Oreochromis niloticus: one gene and its partner. The protein of the gene in region 1 purifies or fractionates together with the protein of each later gene. This does not show direct contact. Links are inferred from orthologs where the notes say so. Each region holds a gene or a part of one and is shown on either strand. Other genes may lie near its edges.

Region 1 (7,267 bases):
TATTTCCTCTCAGCTCACCTGACAGTTGCCAGTGTACACTTACCCACTGGGCAAAGCAACAAGGGATGACATGTTGGGAAACACTATCCCCAATGCCAGGTCTCTCTCTCTCTCTTTCTTACTCTCACTCTCTCCCTCAGTGCTCCAGCTGTGACTCCAGCTGCTCTCATCTCCACTTGCTCAGACGCAAGTGGAGCACACTCCTGTTGTCCGTTTCAACACTAACTACATGAGTTAACTTGCTTTAAGACACTGTAAACCGCAGCATTAATCCTGTAGAGCAGCATGTAATCCCTGAGCAGTCAGACAGGTTACTCAACCTTAAACAAAACACAGTTTTAAAACTTACACATGTTTCCAGACAGCCACAATGCTTAAGGTCAATCCCTGCTATTGGTTTTTATATATTTGTGCTCCCATTTGGTGTACTTACCCACTCACACCTCTTTCTGTCTGCATGAGCTGTGCATGAAAACCACACTTGCAGACCTTCCCTCCACTTTCTCTGACTCATGAAACTAGCCAGGACACACAATCTCTCTCTCTCTCTCTCTCTCTCTCTCTCTTCTTCTCTTTTCCAGTCCTCTCTCTCCCTGCTTCCGCGGAAGACTTCTCCGGTTGACAGGCATTGCCATAGCAACCCATTTTAACCCCCCCATATTCAAGAAGTGCCCCCCTCGTACTTGACTTGTCAGTTTGGGGCACCTCCTTCAGTGAAGCAGCTCTATTGTTGTCATAAGGTGATATTTCACTGCACAGGGTTAACCAAAGGAGAACCAAAATAGTTCATCACCTCCACCTCCCAGACACTACCCAGTGACTCCATCATGTCCCCTCCTAACTTTATCTATCCCATGCCTTCCTCTCCTTTTGTGTGTCTGTGTGTGTGTCTTACATGAATGTGTGTGTGTACACAGTCCAGGTCTTTGGCTAGCCAAAGGCATGAAGGGAGAATAAGAGCTCTTTCTGTTCCTGTAGCTCTGGAAGTGTTTCAGAGTCATTACTCTACGCCACATAGGCAACCACTGACAGCACAAGTCCTGCTGACTTTTCTCCCATGATCGCACACAATAGCAATACTTTTTTGGATGTGAAGATAAAAATGAAACAACAAGAGACTGAAATATGTTTTGCCCTTTTAAAGGCAAATTAGAAGGAGATCAGTCAAACAGGAACAAACACATTCTTAAATCCTGCTGTCTTACACACACACACACACACACACACACACAGTTCTTGCCCAAATGAAACCAGGATTTCCAGTTTGCCCACAGTTCTTGCCAAAAAAGACAAACGGTGTAAAACCTGAAATCCAGTGTGCTGACAGGCTTGCTTTGGCACATATTATGCAGCAGGAAGACTGATTTACAATGTCTGTGTTGCAGGTGAGTGATCCGATCACCTGCTGACAGATGCAATCCCTCCTTTTACATCCATGTTTTATTCCAGCAATAAACTGAAAGCCAGCAGGACAAAGAAGGAAATTTATCAGGGCCTACTCAACGGTCTGCCCATTTGTTTAAAAGTGTATGTTTTTGTGCATGTGCTCGCCAGTTTCAACTTGAAATCGAAGCACTCAGCTCTTTCAATAATTCAGCGGTCTGGCTTGGTACACCAAAGCTCAGCGCAGATATCCACTTACTGAGCTTGTACGCTTCACAGGATTGTTTTCGCCAACCAGTTGAGCTGCTGAACCTAAACGGACAGTGCAGGGCGATCTAGAGGAGCCTTCCTTCATAATCTGTGTCCTGCTGGCACAGACTTTAACCCTGCTGTGACCAAATCTGGTACTTTGTCACTCTGCGCCTAAATGAGGTAATCACGTAAGAGGCAATAGCAGGTTTGGCGCGGTGGTGCTCAGCACGTCTCTGTATTAAAAACCTTGCTCAATTTGTCTTACTCTCTTATTGCCACGCAAACATGAAGGTTTACTCATTGTCAGCTCCAGTTTTTGTTTTTGTCTTTTGTTTTATTTTGGGGTTTTTAACCAGATAATCACGATAGGAAGGAACACAGATGATCTTGTACTTCAGCCCTTCATTGTTACTGATAGATTCAAGCAGACCTTTACCACACAAGCTAATTAAAACAATGACAGCTAAAGATCTCAGGAGGTCAATCATCTAAAAACCTTAAAATACTTGGTGGCTATGGCCCAAGCCTTTTTTTAAAGCATCAGCTTCTCCGTCTTCTGAGGAGACAGGAGACAGCAGATACTGTTGTAATCAAATGAAAGATGTAAAGATAGATAAGTCAAAAGCGTAGAAAAACATTGCCATCATGATAGACGACTGATAAGGAACGACGGCCATACAACAGGTTATGCGCTGAGGTAGCCCATGTGGAATGTCACTGAGAACAAACAAAAATGCATCAGAGTTTATTTTAGCAGTAAACAACATTTTTTTCTGAGCTGTACATGTCCCAGGACTCTGGTTCACACTCTAAACATGTCTTGTATAGAAATAAATCCTTGCAGGTTTTAATGCCTGTTTCCAAAAGAGCGATAGAGTGCACTTCTAGGATGAAAACACTGAAATATCCCCACATGTAAAGCCACCATGGGAGTCGGTGTGTGGATAAAGGTCAGATGATAACCATCTTTTGAACCACAGACAGCTGCTTAAGGTCACTTAAACAAATTCTGAAAATAAACCCACAGCAGTAACAGACCAGTGACTTAAAAAAAATAATGCCTTATGTTGTTTGTCAATGCCAGTGATGAACTGAGTAGTGACGAGAAGAAGCAAATATCACATCTGTGCTACAGTCTCACACGAAAATTGAAGTCAAAACTGAAAGAGGCTAGAAAAACATAAGTCTTCTTTCTGAGCGTTTAAATCCCAGTAGCTCTAACCTTTGCGTTAGTCACTGTGAGAAGCCGAGGCACAAGTTGTACAGTACTTACAGGCTGTAGAGTGCAGGCTGAGCGGTGAAGTCTCTGCAGCACACAAGGAGAGAGAGGAAGTGAATGAAAAAAAAGGAGGGCACTACTGCTGCTGCTTTTTCTCTCGAACTCTCCCTCCCTCTTTCTCTTTGTAAAGCCAACAGGGTGTCTTTTATCTTCTGTGAATGATTCAGCCTGAGTCTGAATGTTTGACTGGGTGTCCATAGGCGTGCGCATGTAATATGTGTGTGTGTGTGTGTTTCTTGTGTTTGTGTGAGCATGCTCTTTAAAGCTCATCAGGGAAAAAGGGGCTTGGTAATAGTTTCCATCCACAGCTGGAAATAATAGAAATTCCCATAGAGGCGCAGCAGAACCACCTTCCGGTGTTTGACAGCACATGCCAAAAAAGATGATTTCTATAGCAATCTCAATAAATAGGCCTTAGTGTTATAATCCTGTTGGTCTATTCACACTCTTAAGCCTTTAGTGTGTGTCACATTCATATCAATCAAAAAAAAAGGAAAAAGGAGAGTCTTTAGCACTTTCTATGACATCCAGATAGCAGACAGGATCCAGGAAAGTATATTTCTTTTTTTCTTTTACATGAACTCATATCCGCTAACAACCCCAAATATGCAAACACTTGCCCCAGACTAGGACACAAAGGCTAATCCCAAAATAAGTGTCACTTTTTCCATCCTCTGTATCAGGCCCTATGCAGCCACCCAGTATGAGAAAACCTTTGTATTCAAGCTGTAGTCTTGTAAAATCCACAGTGTAATCATGAAGATCGGCTGCATTTCTGGACAAATGTTAAGCTTCTGTTAAGTTCTTGAGGGTTTTATCTGTTAGATTCTTTCACCCTGAGTCCAGAAGCAGCGCAGCCCTGCCATCCAAGATAAATATTTAACAGTCTGGCTGTGAGACCAGGAATCAAAGGTCGCACCTCTGTGAGTCTGCCGCTGTGTTAGAGACAAAAGACAACCATGTTACCAAACAGCTCAACAGGGACCGTTATTTATTCTTCTTGAACCAAGTTTCCAGATGAGCAATCCATTATTCACAGAGGAAAAACTCATTTTTGATTAATAAAGGTCATCTCTGGAACACCAGACACACAAGTACAAGTTTGCAAGCTATTTTTTCCATCAGTGGTCAAATGATGTATGCCCTCTTCTCTGTTGGATCCTCTTTGCAGTCCAAAAAGCAACACCCCAACATATCCTCCAATTTCACTCTGACAGACTTTGCATTGGAAAGCACCTTAACATGAAAGATAGTACCACACCGTCCCTCTGTGGCTCTGAGGGGAACTGTTGGGTCTATTACAGGATTTGTCATATGATATCAGGTTGCACAGACAGATGTCGCCAGAGACAAGGAGCTGTAGTAATTTAGGCAGTCCTATGTATTCCCTCCAATTTAAACACCTGCAAACCTCCACTTCAAACAGTAGGCAGGTTAAATATTTAATAATAAAAATGTTGTTTCATCATAACATGTATTTTCCTCCAGTTATAAAATATGCTGAGACATATAAATTAACTTGCAAATCTTATATATTGATATGTATTCGTTTCAATGACTAATTAGACACCTTTAGTATGTCTAATAATGTGATCAATGATGCATTGTTATTTCCCAGCTAGCGTTTGTTTGATGTTTTTTACTTACTCAGTTTTTAGCATTTACACAGATGAAGTGTATAATATTTAAGTCTTTTCACAGTGCATTAGTATTTTTTACTTAAGCTTAATATTCAAATTAATGCTTTGATCTCTTAAAATAAATGAAATCATACCTTATTACTAAAACTATTTATGTTGTTCTCCACCTTTTGCTTAACCAGACCAGAGTCTGGTACTGCAGGATTAACCTGAGTGTCCCAATCCTGGACCGTTTTTTTAACCATGAGGATCGCAGGCTTGATTTTCGGCTAAGCAGGGAGTCTATGGCAGTGTTGCTAAATCTCATGAACCCGGATCGGCAGCATGGTTGGGGTGCAACAACTGAGACCCTGGTGTTTCTTTTCTGGTTGGCAAGAGGAGCATCCTACAGGTGGTCTCAAGAGTGTTTGGGATGCCTCATTCTACAGTCCACTACATTGTTCATAGACTCACAGAGGGGGTGGTGGCCATTAGCCACTAGATCATGCTGCTCCCAAAGACCCTCAAGGACCTGGAGGTATTGTCCTGTGGGTTTGCAGGGCTGGCACGCCATAGAGCCTTTCTGAGAGCGGTGGGGGCAATCGACGGCTGCCACATCCGCTTCAAGTCTCCAAGCGGCCCTGATGGTCAATGCTACAGAAACAGGAAACTATTCCCATCATTCATCTTGCAGGCAGTTTGTGACCATCAGGGCCGCTTCAATGACACGTACGTGGGCTGGCCTGGGTCGGCAACACAGTGTGTTCTTACCTGAACTCCTGCTTTGATTTTTCTCTTAATGTCCCTATAATCAGTAAATACCTGATTGTAGAGACATTTTTAATCAAACATGGTCTCGACAGGTTTCCTTTTATCACAGTCCATTTAATTTCACTGTAATTTACAGTAAGTTTCATAAAAACACATACAGCTAAATAACAGAAAAGAGCTTATTATGACATATTACACATTAATTATACTGGCATAGTTGAATTTTTTATTTTAAAAAATCCAACATTGCTTTACAATTTACAATAACAATGAAAAATGAACCATACAGCACATTTTGCATTAAGTGTTTAAGTCATACAATGACTTAAAAATTACAAAAATACATTTTGTTTATAAAACAAAAAGAGATGTACTATTTCAATCATTTCAATTTAGAAATATTTCAGTTCAGTGTCTGTACATCAACCTTTTTGTAAAGTTTCTTTCTTCCTCTTCTGCTTCTTCTGGTTGTTCCCTTTCAGGGTCGGCACAGTGGATCATCCTATCATCCTTTTCTGTCTTGCTTTCTTCCTCCTGTCTAACAGCTCCATCTTCAACATCCTTTGTCCAGTTTATTCACTATCACTCTTCTGCATACGTGCAAACCATCTTAGCCTTGCTTTTTTAACTTTGTCTCCAAACCGCTCAATCTGAGCTGTCCTCTAAATGTACTCATTTCTAGTCCTGTCCCGTATGGTCACTAACAGAGACATTCTTAGCATCTTCAAAACTGCCAACACTTGGCCTCCTGTCTGTTTGTCAGTGCCACCATCTCCACACCATACATCCCAGCAGAACATCACTACCATCTTGTAAACGTTCCCTTTCACTCTTGCTGCTATTCTTCTGTCACAATTCCGGGCTGTTGTCTCAGAGATCAGCTGACCTCTATAAACCACCTCTCCACCACTGATGAAGCTCTGATCGTGTGTCGACACAGCGGACAGGTACCAAACTGCTCACAGACTCTGAAGTTGCAGTCTTTACATAAACATCGGTGACCACAAGGCAGTGTGATTCTGGCCTCTTTCACCATGCACACCACACAGATTTTATCTGTGGTAAAAAGAGAGAGATCCCAATTACAAATGTGACATCAGGAAATGAGACCACACTATTACAGCTGATTTCACTTTTATCCTCTCTGGTCAGAAATGTGCAACTGAAATTAGCCAATAATGTTTGAAATGACTCTTTACCTTCTGGCATTTTTGTGTCAAGACAGGAGATGCAGTCATCACGTCTGAAGTTTGAAACATCAGGAACTGAACGAAAGTGACTGTAAGCATCAGGTGAGGTGAGCGGTTCAGGTGCAGGACAGGATCTTCTATGGTAAAGCAGCTTTTTGTTTTTCTTGGAGTCTTCAGCAAAGAGAAAGGAGTATTTGAATAGTCATTCAGTCTATGAATGGTCATTCAGACAACATTTATAACTGTCAGAGCATGTGAATTGCTCTGCATTCACAGAACAGGAAAAACATTCTGCAGGTCAAATATAACTGTGGTTCTAGTGAACTTACCCAGGAATAAAATGGAGCGCGTCTGTCCGTAGATGTCTATCATGGCCCACAGTGGCTGTTTCATGTCCACTCCTGTTAGTCGCTCGTACTCCTCGTTGTTGACACCTACGTATATGCTGCCATGAGAAGAAACCCAAAACTCCAGCTCTGAACCTGCTTGACAAACAGATTCATCCAGTGGAACAGCCCAGTGTCCCGGCTTGTCAGTGAGATTGGGGATGGACATGCAGGGCAGAGGTAGAGATCTGGCTGAGGGTGGCACAGTGGTAAAGCCCACACGCAGAGCCCCGTCCCAGATGGTCGAATCCCTCTCTACTCTCAGACGAATCTTCTCCTGGACCTTCACTGGACGGCTGCTGAACACCAGCCCATTCTTGAAGGTGTTCTCAGTCTTCTCTGCGAGTCGACCTCCATGACTCAGGCGGATCTTTTCTCCCACAGCTT
Region 2 (8,166 bases), on another chromosome or scaffold:
GGGCTTAGAGGAATTTTTCAGCGTTATTCCTTTATGGAGATGCTCAGGTGGTGGTGGTGGAGTAAATATCGTATTTAATGTCACATTTACTATTTCACAGTAGATTTGAGCCTGAAGTTGATGTTGTTGTGTGGTGTGTTTTCTGTTGTTTTTGTTCTTTCTTTTGTTTTTTGTTTTTTTCCTTTACACATTCTTGCCTCTCTGCAAACCCTTTTCTCAGGGGGGTTGTAATGTACATCCCTATCTACTGAATTTGTTTCACTTTGCCGTCATTGATGTGGATGCATCAGGAATACCGGTCTAATAAGATTGCCATCACTTTTACAGAAAAAAAACATGCCCTGGGTGCACATTTAGACTGACTCATTCAGATACACTGAGATCACTGAAGGAGCTTTAGTGTAACCTTTTTAAGAAGATTTTTGTTGTTGTTGTTGTTGTTGTTTTGTTTCCATTTCCCAGATGTCATTTTGTGGTGTTTTAGAGAAATAAATGGGATACTGCTTGTGTACAGTTAATAATATATTGTTGTTGTCTTGGTAATGACTTGGTTTTTGTCTGTTTTAGTGAAGTGCATTAAAAACACACCTGCATATTTTGCTGAAAGACTCTACAAAGCCATGAAGGTGAGACAGTCTGTTCTGTGTCTGTGCATTACTAAATAGATGTAGCATCATATTCATATTATTTTTGTGTGTGTGTTATTGTTTGTGTGCAGGGAGCTGGGACAAAAGACAAAACTCTGATCCGGATCATGGTCTCCCGTTCCGAGGTTGACATGCTGGACATTCGCCAGGAGTATGTGAAAAATTACGGCAAGTCTCTGTACACTGCGATCTCTGTAAGTATCTACTATAATACAAAAGCACTGTATCCAATAAAATCTGTTTTTAAGAGATGGATGTTTAATTTTCTTGGGCTGTGTTGAACAGGGAGACACATCAGGAGACTACAAGAAACTCCTACTCAAGCTCTGCGGGGGCAGTGACTGAAAAAGGGAGGCTGTCTGTCGACTTCTTTACAGAAGTTTCTTCAAATATAGTCTTTCTGAATCTTTATCTGTATGCACTATACACACACTGCATACTTGCATGCCATGTCAATGCTTTCAATGCAAAATTTACCTAGCTTTAAAAAGCTCATACATATTGTTACCTTTCTATAAACAGTATGTAAAAAATGTTTTATATATTTTTTTGTTTGTACTATATTGGCCGGATATGACAGTACATGGATTTACAAAATGGATTTGTAAGAGTTTACATCGGATCTTGAAGAGATATATATATTTTAAAAAGATTTTTATTGTGCCAATATGATCAGATACTGAATTGTATCTGATGTTTAGCAGCTAGTTAATTTTCAGCAATGCTGATAAAAGTGAGGCATATAATACATAGCAGCTAAGTACCAAAGTAAAAGATAATGCTTGCAATTGTACAATCTCTTCTATATTTTTTCTAGTCTTGAGTTTTGTTTCTAAAAGCTATGTTTGCAGTAGTTTTGTCACATAAAGGTCACTATAGTTCATCATTGAGCATGACGTTTCATAATTAAGGTGCCATTTTCAGGGGATTCAGGAAATAAATACTGAGAATGTACACTGCGATTGTTTTTTTTGTTCATTACACTGAAAACCATAAAACTGCAACAAACTCTATGAAAAGGCTTTAGCCAATGGGCACCCCTCTAGTGTATGTCACATCCCTTTATTAGATCACAAGCGCAAATGGGTTCTGGTGAAAAGGCGTTCTGAATATATGAATATGGCAGTAATGCTTTTGAGAAGAAACCAAGTTTAGTTACATTTTTATTTGTGTCGCATCAGTCGCCTCAAGCAGACAAACCCTTGCACAATACAGACGTCTAAAAAATGTTAATACATAGTGCAGCAGATAACATTACAGAGAAATTGTTCGCAGCCATTTGAAAAAAAAAACAGAAAGATGGTAATTTGGCTGTTGATGAAGGCGAGAAAATGTTTGTTTATTGTTAATAAAAAAAAATTAAGCTTACCTTTTTGAATCAAATCATACATGTTTGATCACCTAAGTCAACTCTGGAAGTCGGAAATTACTCAGATGGTTTTTTGGGGTTTTTTTTTAATATTAATTGCTCAATTTGTTTAACATTCAGAATTTCACTAAATTGCTATTGTCAATGATACTACTTCACTAGTTACTGTATTTTAGGTCAAAAAGTAAAATTTATTGCCAGCCATTCAAACTTTGTGGTCATGCTCAATAACCAAACCTTTGGCTGGACCACTGCGATGCTGTAAGGGTTTGGTAGTAGACTTGGTTTGTCAGCAGAGGGCAGTGATGTCTTTACCTCTAAAAAATACAGCAAGCAAAAATCATAGTCACATCATGGCACTGAATTAATTATCGTGGTCACAGTTTACACATGTACAAACCACCAAACAAGGCTGCTGGTTCTTTCACACTGTATCAGCTAAAAGTCTCACTATCACTGCCATAAAGCAGTGTGAGACTTAAACACACTGTATTTTGCTCAATCAATACAGATAACTGTTCTCTATATGCCTTATTAAGTTCTGTTGGCTTCACTTAAAATGCTGTTCAACACTGTAAAGACATGGCTATGCGCTTGTCTGGCCATAGTAGTGTATGTCTGTGTGTGTTAAGTGCACTACAATCAATAACTCTGTGAAGTGAGAAGGGGGAGGCGGAGCCTGTGGAATTAATGGCATCCATAAAGCTGCCTTGCCCACATTAAACAAGTCTACCATGACTGGGGCTGTCAGATGCATGGGGGACCCTTAGGGAAGAGCCATGCTGGAGGAATCACTTTTGATCACCTCATGTTAAAACTGACTAGAAAAGGCAGAGAAGGTTTGAGGGCTTTAGATGGCTGTTTAGATTACAATGGCTAAAAGTGTAATGAATCCTGAATGCGATTACATCAGTTTTAAAAAGATAATTTAGATGTGATTAGATTAGGGTTTTTTTTAAACAAAGTGTTTCTGGCATGTCTATGCCAACATTGCAGTTCTGATATCATTACAACCATCAGCCTCTCGTCTGTTGCAGGCGTCTAGCTGAAGGCTGTGTAATTCACCGTTAATTAAAAACCACGAATTGCCTAATTTACTGTCTGTTATGACTGATCTAATCACTTGGGAATCCTCTCACAGTGTCTGAGGTATTGTGGGGGAAAAGATGAAATTACATTATGAAAGATAAAACTCTATAAATGACAGTAGCAAACACATACCCTTCTAACATTTCACTACCTCCTCTTTAAATGAGCATTGTGTATTCACTGCTTTGGGAATGCTATCACTCTCATGCATCCATGCAGGAAATTAGTGCGAGAAGTAAGTGTCTAATAAACCAATTGCTTTGTTACTCTCAGCTGAGACAGCGAAGCTGATAATAAAAAAAAAAGAAAAGAAAAAAATCCATGAAAATGATTTGTTGTCTCCATTTGAGACAATTTGACCGGGATCGGTGATGGATATACTTGTTGACAGTCTTTTCAATAAAAGATAAAGCTATTATCTGCTGTGATCTGAGCTGCCTGACATACAATTTGTTTAATAAAATTCAGTAAATTATCAGACAGCCACAAGCACCACCCTTGTAGTCTAAATAATAAACTCATTCATACCCCCAAGATAAAAAGGATCAGGCTGTCTTCTCTATTTAAATGGGATGTCCTCGAAGGTAGGGTACAGACACAATTGTCCAATCTGTGTCAGCACTAGGGACCTGCTTCCCTTTGATATGAATGAATTGTAATTAATTTTTCATCTAAAGGGATAGCACATGGTTGCACAAGCTATGGAGCCAGCATGGCAGATAGACAGAAAGGAGGAGGTGTGGGTTTGGAGGAGATGTCACAATGAGATTCAGTGCATGCATGAATAAGGTCACGGTCTGAGAGGTATGCCCGCAGATGCTTGCCTCTGTGCCAGCAGTCTTTATTCATTTGTAGACTAGAGGCAGAGTGCATCCATCATCATCACACTGCATTTCACAAAGCCTAGTCAAATACACATTTCATTTGTCACAGCATATACGTTCACAAATGGCGTTTTGCCCTCTTCTGCCTAATCCTGCACATATATGTAGTGCGCAGAGTAAAACTGGTTGCAGTGCAGCTTGGTTTTAGAGGCAGGGTGCATAAGCCTGTGGCTTCAGCAGCAGCATTAAGCAAGGGGAAGATAAAAATCCCTATGTTTTTATCACTGCTTTAACATTTTCCCCAAATAAAATTCCTAATGTAGTCAGTGAGGATTACGATGAAGCTCTGCTGATTTGTTGTGTCAGTGTTAAATCCAAAGATTATAATAATGAATTAATATCACCCGGTTTATCAACCAGCCTATTTTTGGCAACGTCTTTTTTTTAGCTCTCAAATTCATCTCATGCACTGTGGTGACATAGGAGATGATTCACACTGAGGAAAGATACATGCTTTAGGTAAAACTAGAAAGAACACCCTCCATCACAAAGCCTTGCATTACGTAAATAAATATTAATTATCATGTAATTAGCAACACACTGTTGTTTTGTCCCGGTTGATAAAGACTGCATCAGTAAAATCTGACTTAGTAGAGTTTAATTTACACTTAATGCAGTAAAAAGTATAACAATGGCTTCAAACAGCAAAATCGTATTAAATCTTATTAAAGAATCAGAATCAGAATTTATTTATTCTTATTGGCAAGTTGGTCCACAGGTTTTTCCACATATTTGTCTTGTTGTCATGATGCAAAAATCCGTGGTACAGAAATAGAATATATGGCATTTACTGTAGATATAACAAATAAATCTCTATATGAATATTAATAATATAAATACTCAAAATAGGAATATATAAATATATACTAAGTAACTACAGTAAATAAGAATACAAAGTAGAACGTTGCTTCCCCCTTTGGGTAGAAGTGCACCATTTGTGGTTCTTTACCGCCATGTCGATATTTTTAATATTATCTCTATATTTTCATTCTGTTCGTTGTGATTTTTTTCCACCTGGGATTTTCGACGTAGTACGGGGATGATGTGTACGCCCATTGAAAAAATGGGCGTGCCGTCGCGTCTTCCCCGCCTCATTTTGCCTTATATGGTCACCGAGCGGACCGTTGATTGACAGCGAGCAGCAGCTGCTGAGTTGCTCAGACATGGCGGAGGATACAGTGTAACTGGGCAGCAGCGGCGGAGTTACGTGAGTTTTCCCAGCAGTTGAGTCAGCAAAAGGCGCATGAAATGATACATAAAAAGAGGAAAATGTGTTCGGTTAAAGCGTACTCTGAAGGGAAGCGAAAAACGACGAGAAGCGCCACACGTTGGTAAGATGGAAAAATGTATCGCTGTTTAGTGCAGTCAACAGCCTTGGGCAACAAATATGGCTTCTTGTGCCTTTTTCAGTATGCTATAAAAATTGTTCTCCCGTGCAACCTAATGCCGTGGTGGCTCCGGCGAAGTTCTGCAAGCCGCTACAAGTTAAGTTCAATAATCGCTCAGTACTTTTGATCGGGAAGGATATTACATCCACTTGGCCGTCTGGGGTTAGCTGGGAAGCTACGGAACTACAGCGGATAGCAATGGAGCCAAAGCACAAAGAGTTGCTAGACCAGTGTCACCAGAACTTATTGGAGTCCATAACAGATGCGGACCGTGTGATCGAGCTGCTGATAGTTTCCGGTACTTTGAGTCAACTCGACAGGTTCGAGCTGGACCAGAACTGTTCGTCCAGCGCCGAGAAAGTCGACCACCTTTTGAAGATGCTGATGAACAAGGAGAGCGACCATTTCCTCGACCTGTGTGTGGCCCTGGAGAAGGCATACCCTGACCTGTATGCTGCTCTGTTCGGGAACAACGGGGGAGGACCTGTGGACCACTCCACCGGTAAGAGCTGAGACTCTCAGTTCTCCTGAACGGGTCTTCACTTGATTCTATAAATGAGTACTACTTACTGTAAGAAGCGACAATCTGGGTGGTCTCTCAGAAGAAAACGTGTGTGTGGATAGCTACACAATACTCGAGCTTGAAGCTTGCTTTGCCATGAGAAAGGTGCACGGGAAGAGGTTGCAGAGGGGGGTTGCAGCAGTGCTCCTTTATGCATGCTATGAAATTTGTAAGAAGAACTAATGGCAATGTGCAAATTTTTGTGCTGTTAAATGTGCAGAATATAAAGCACTGGCCTTGATCTTTAAACTGCAGGCTGGAGATATAATGCACAAGCAAGGAGTAGTACGACCAAGGACTTTTGTCATTGCTCACAGCCATTATGCCCTCTCCGAGTCTCTACTATACAGTCCAATAAAAATCAGTGCAATAGTGTAGAATTAGCTTGAGTGGCTATAGCTTCTGAATATTTTAAGTATTGATATCAGTGTTCTGTTTAAAGAAAGTCAGATCGCCTAATAACCACCACAAATTCTCATGTGTTGTTAGTGGCATGCGATGGCTGTGGTACATTAGATTAATCCGAGTTGTTTCCATGACAACGGGTGTACCACTCACATGTTGGTCTGTACCTTGTAGTGATGTGTGCATGCAGCCTGCCCATGCCTAAATGGATCAGTCTGCATCAGGCCACACTCCTCTTTTTGGGGAGTAAACCACACTTTTATTCTAACAAGGACTGATTTTTTTTTTTTCTCCAGTTGTGCATTAATGCTGCATTTTAATCAGAGTTCATTCATTGCATTCATTTCATTTGGCCTCTGTCCTCACAGCAAGTGCCCTCCACTTCAGTGGTGTGGGTTGTTGTTGCACGGAGACAAAGGGCAACCAAGTGTAAAAGCCTCATCTAGTTTTGCCTGTTTTACTTTGAATGACTGAAGCCAGTGGCTTACAAACAGTGTCATGCCCTGAGGGCCTGAATGCAGGATGAGCCTTGAGATCCAAATCTGGGGAAGAGATGCAGCGCCATGCTTGGCTTTTGATACATTTCACATTAAAACAGCATTGCAGGCAATGTTGCATATAATTTTGAAGCCACCCTGTGTGAAACAGCTACAGCTGTGTCCATAGTTTACGGCTGCCAAGTTGTAGCACGCCTCACTTTACTACCAGCAAGTAGATCTTAGCAGGTAATGCTGATTTGGTCTTGCTGCTCTGCTGACTGGATCACTAATGTTTCCTTAAGCTTTATTACTTCCTTGTATTGACTGTTGCTGCTGCAGAATAACACACCTGCTGACATGCTAAGAAACGCATTCACTGTGTTTCTTTGAGCAGCTGAGAGTCTGGTCTGGTCTGTTTGCCGTTGGCAGTACTTGGCAATCTGGATTTGGGTTTTTCTTCACTCGCTCACCTTTATAGATCATAACACCGGGCCTCAGAGCTGACCTGACTGTATTAGGAGAGTGCGAGCACAAATGGTGAGTCTGGCTTGTCAGCCTGTGGTTATTCAACAAAGGATTAGGGCCTGCTCTCCTCTCTCTGGTGTAAATTCTCTCTGTGAGACGCGCTTTATCGTACTTCTACAGTCCTCTTTATTAGCTGTCACGCTTTTGACTCCCTCTGCTTTGACTCAAGTGTTGTGCTTCTCTTTAATGTGCTGTTTATTATCTTTTAATATAGTAATTCGGATGATGCGATTACCATGTTTTAACCATACTTGCAAGAGACTGAAGACAAGCTGCTCACAGAGCACCTTCAGGCAAAGAATCTGGTAGAAAAAGCACATACGGATGAAATCCTCAAAGCTGCGGTGTATCTGTGAACAACGCAGGGTGTGTGAAAAGAGGGAATATGAGTGTGATGAGTCTTGCTGATAGCAACCTGCTCTCAACTTGTCCTCCTCTCAGGCTGCCTGCCTGCTTTTGTTCTCAGATGTGCCTCCTGTGCCAGCTGAGCCTCTATACACGCACACACATGAAATCATCCAAAGAAGCATCCTCAGCCCAAAGGAAAAACATACAGATGCACGCATAAGTACTGTATTGTTTAAAGCTCGGGCTCTGTAAATTATAAGTATTTCATTGGGAAACTGCAGCATATTTGCTGTAAAGAACATGCAAACACATTCATTATTTAGCCTGTTTTTGCGCATCTGTATGCTGGGGGGACCAAGTCTGGCTTCCTGATTTTTGACAACATTTCTACCTCTCATTAAACGGCAAAGATTCCCTTAGAATATTGAGTATCACTTTCTTTCTTTCTTTATGTTTTGGTCACTTTTTTT

What was found.
Region 2: the proteins of sorbs3 (region 1) and dlg5a purify together in Homo sapiens (co-immunoprecipitation; 3 studies listed by BioGRID and IntAct, with this or other methods). This does not show direct contact. The link is inferred for Oreochromis niloticus from reciprocal best matches to the Homo sapiens genes SORBS3 and DLG5.

Annotation. Positions count from the first base shown.
Region 1 is NC_031977.2:13,314,181-13,321,447, reverse strand, and holds the start of sorbs3 (vinexin), read right to left. Parts: upstream 3,091-7,267; 5' UTR 2,909-3,090; intron 2,877-2,908; exon of another isoform or gene 2,858-2,876; intron 536-2,857; exon of another isoform or gene 434-535; intron 1-433. Other genes in the region: E3 ubiquitin-protein ligase NEURL3-like, read right to left, coding at 6,765-7,267. UniProt on the Homo sapiens protein: Vinexin alpha isoform promotes up-regulation of actin stress fiber formation. Vinexin beta isoform plays a role in cell spreading and enhances the activation of JNK/SAPK in response to EGF stimulation by using its third SH3 domain.
Region 2 is NC_031978.2:16,464,932-16,473,097, reverse strand, and holds the start of dlg5a (disks large homolog 5a), read left to right. Parts: upstream 1-5,127; 5' UTR 5,128-5,575; coding exon 5,576-5,879; intron 5,880-8,166. Other genes in the region: anxa11a (annexin A11a), read left to right, coding at 568-626, 719-841, 933-992. UniProt on the Homo sapiens protein: Acts as a regulator of the Hippo signaling pathway.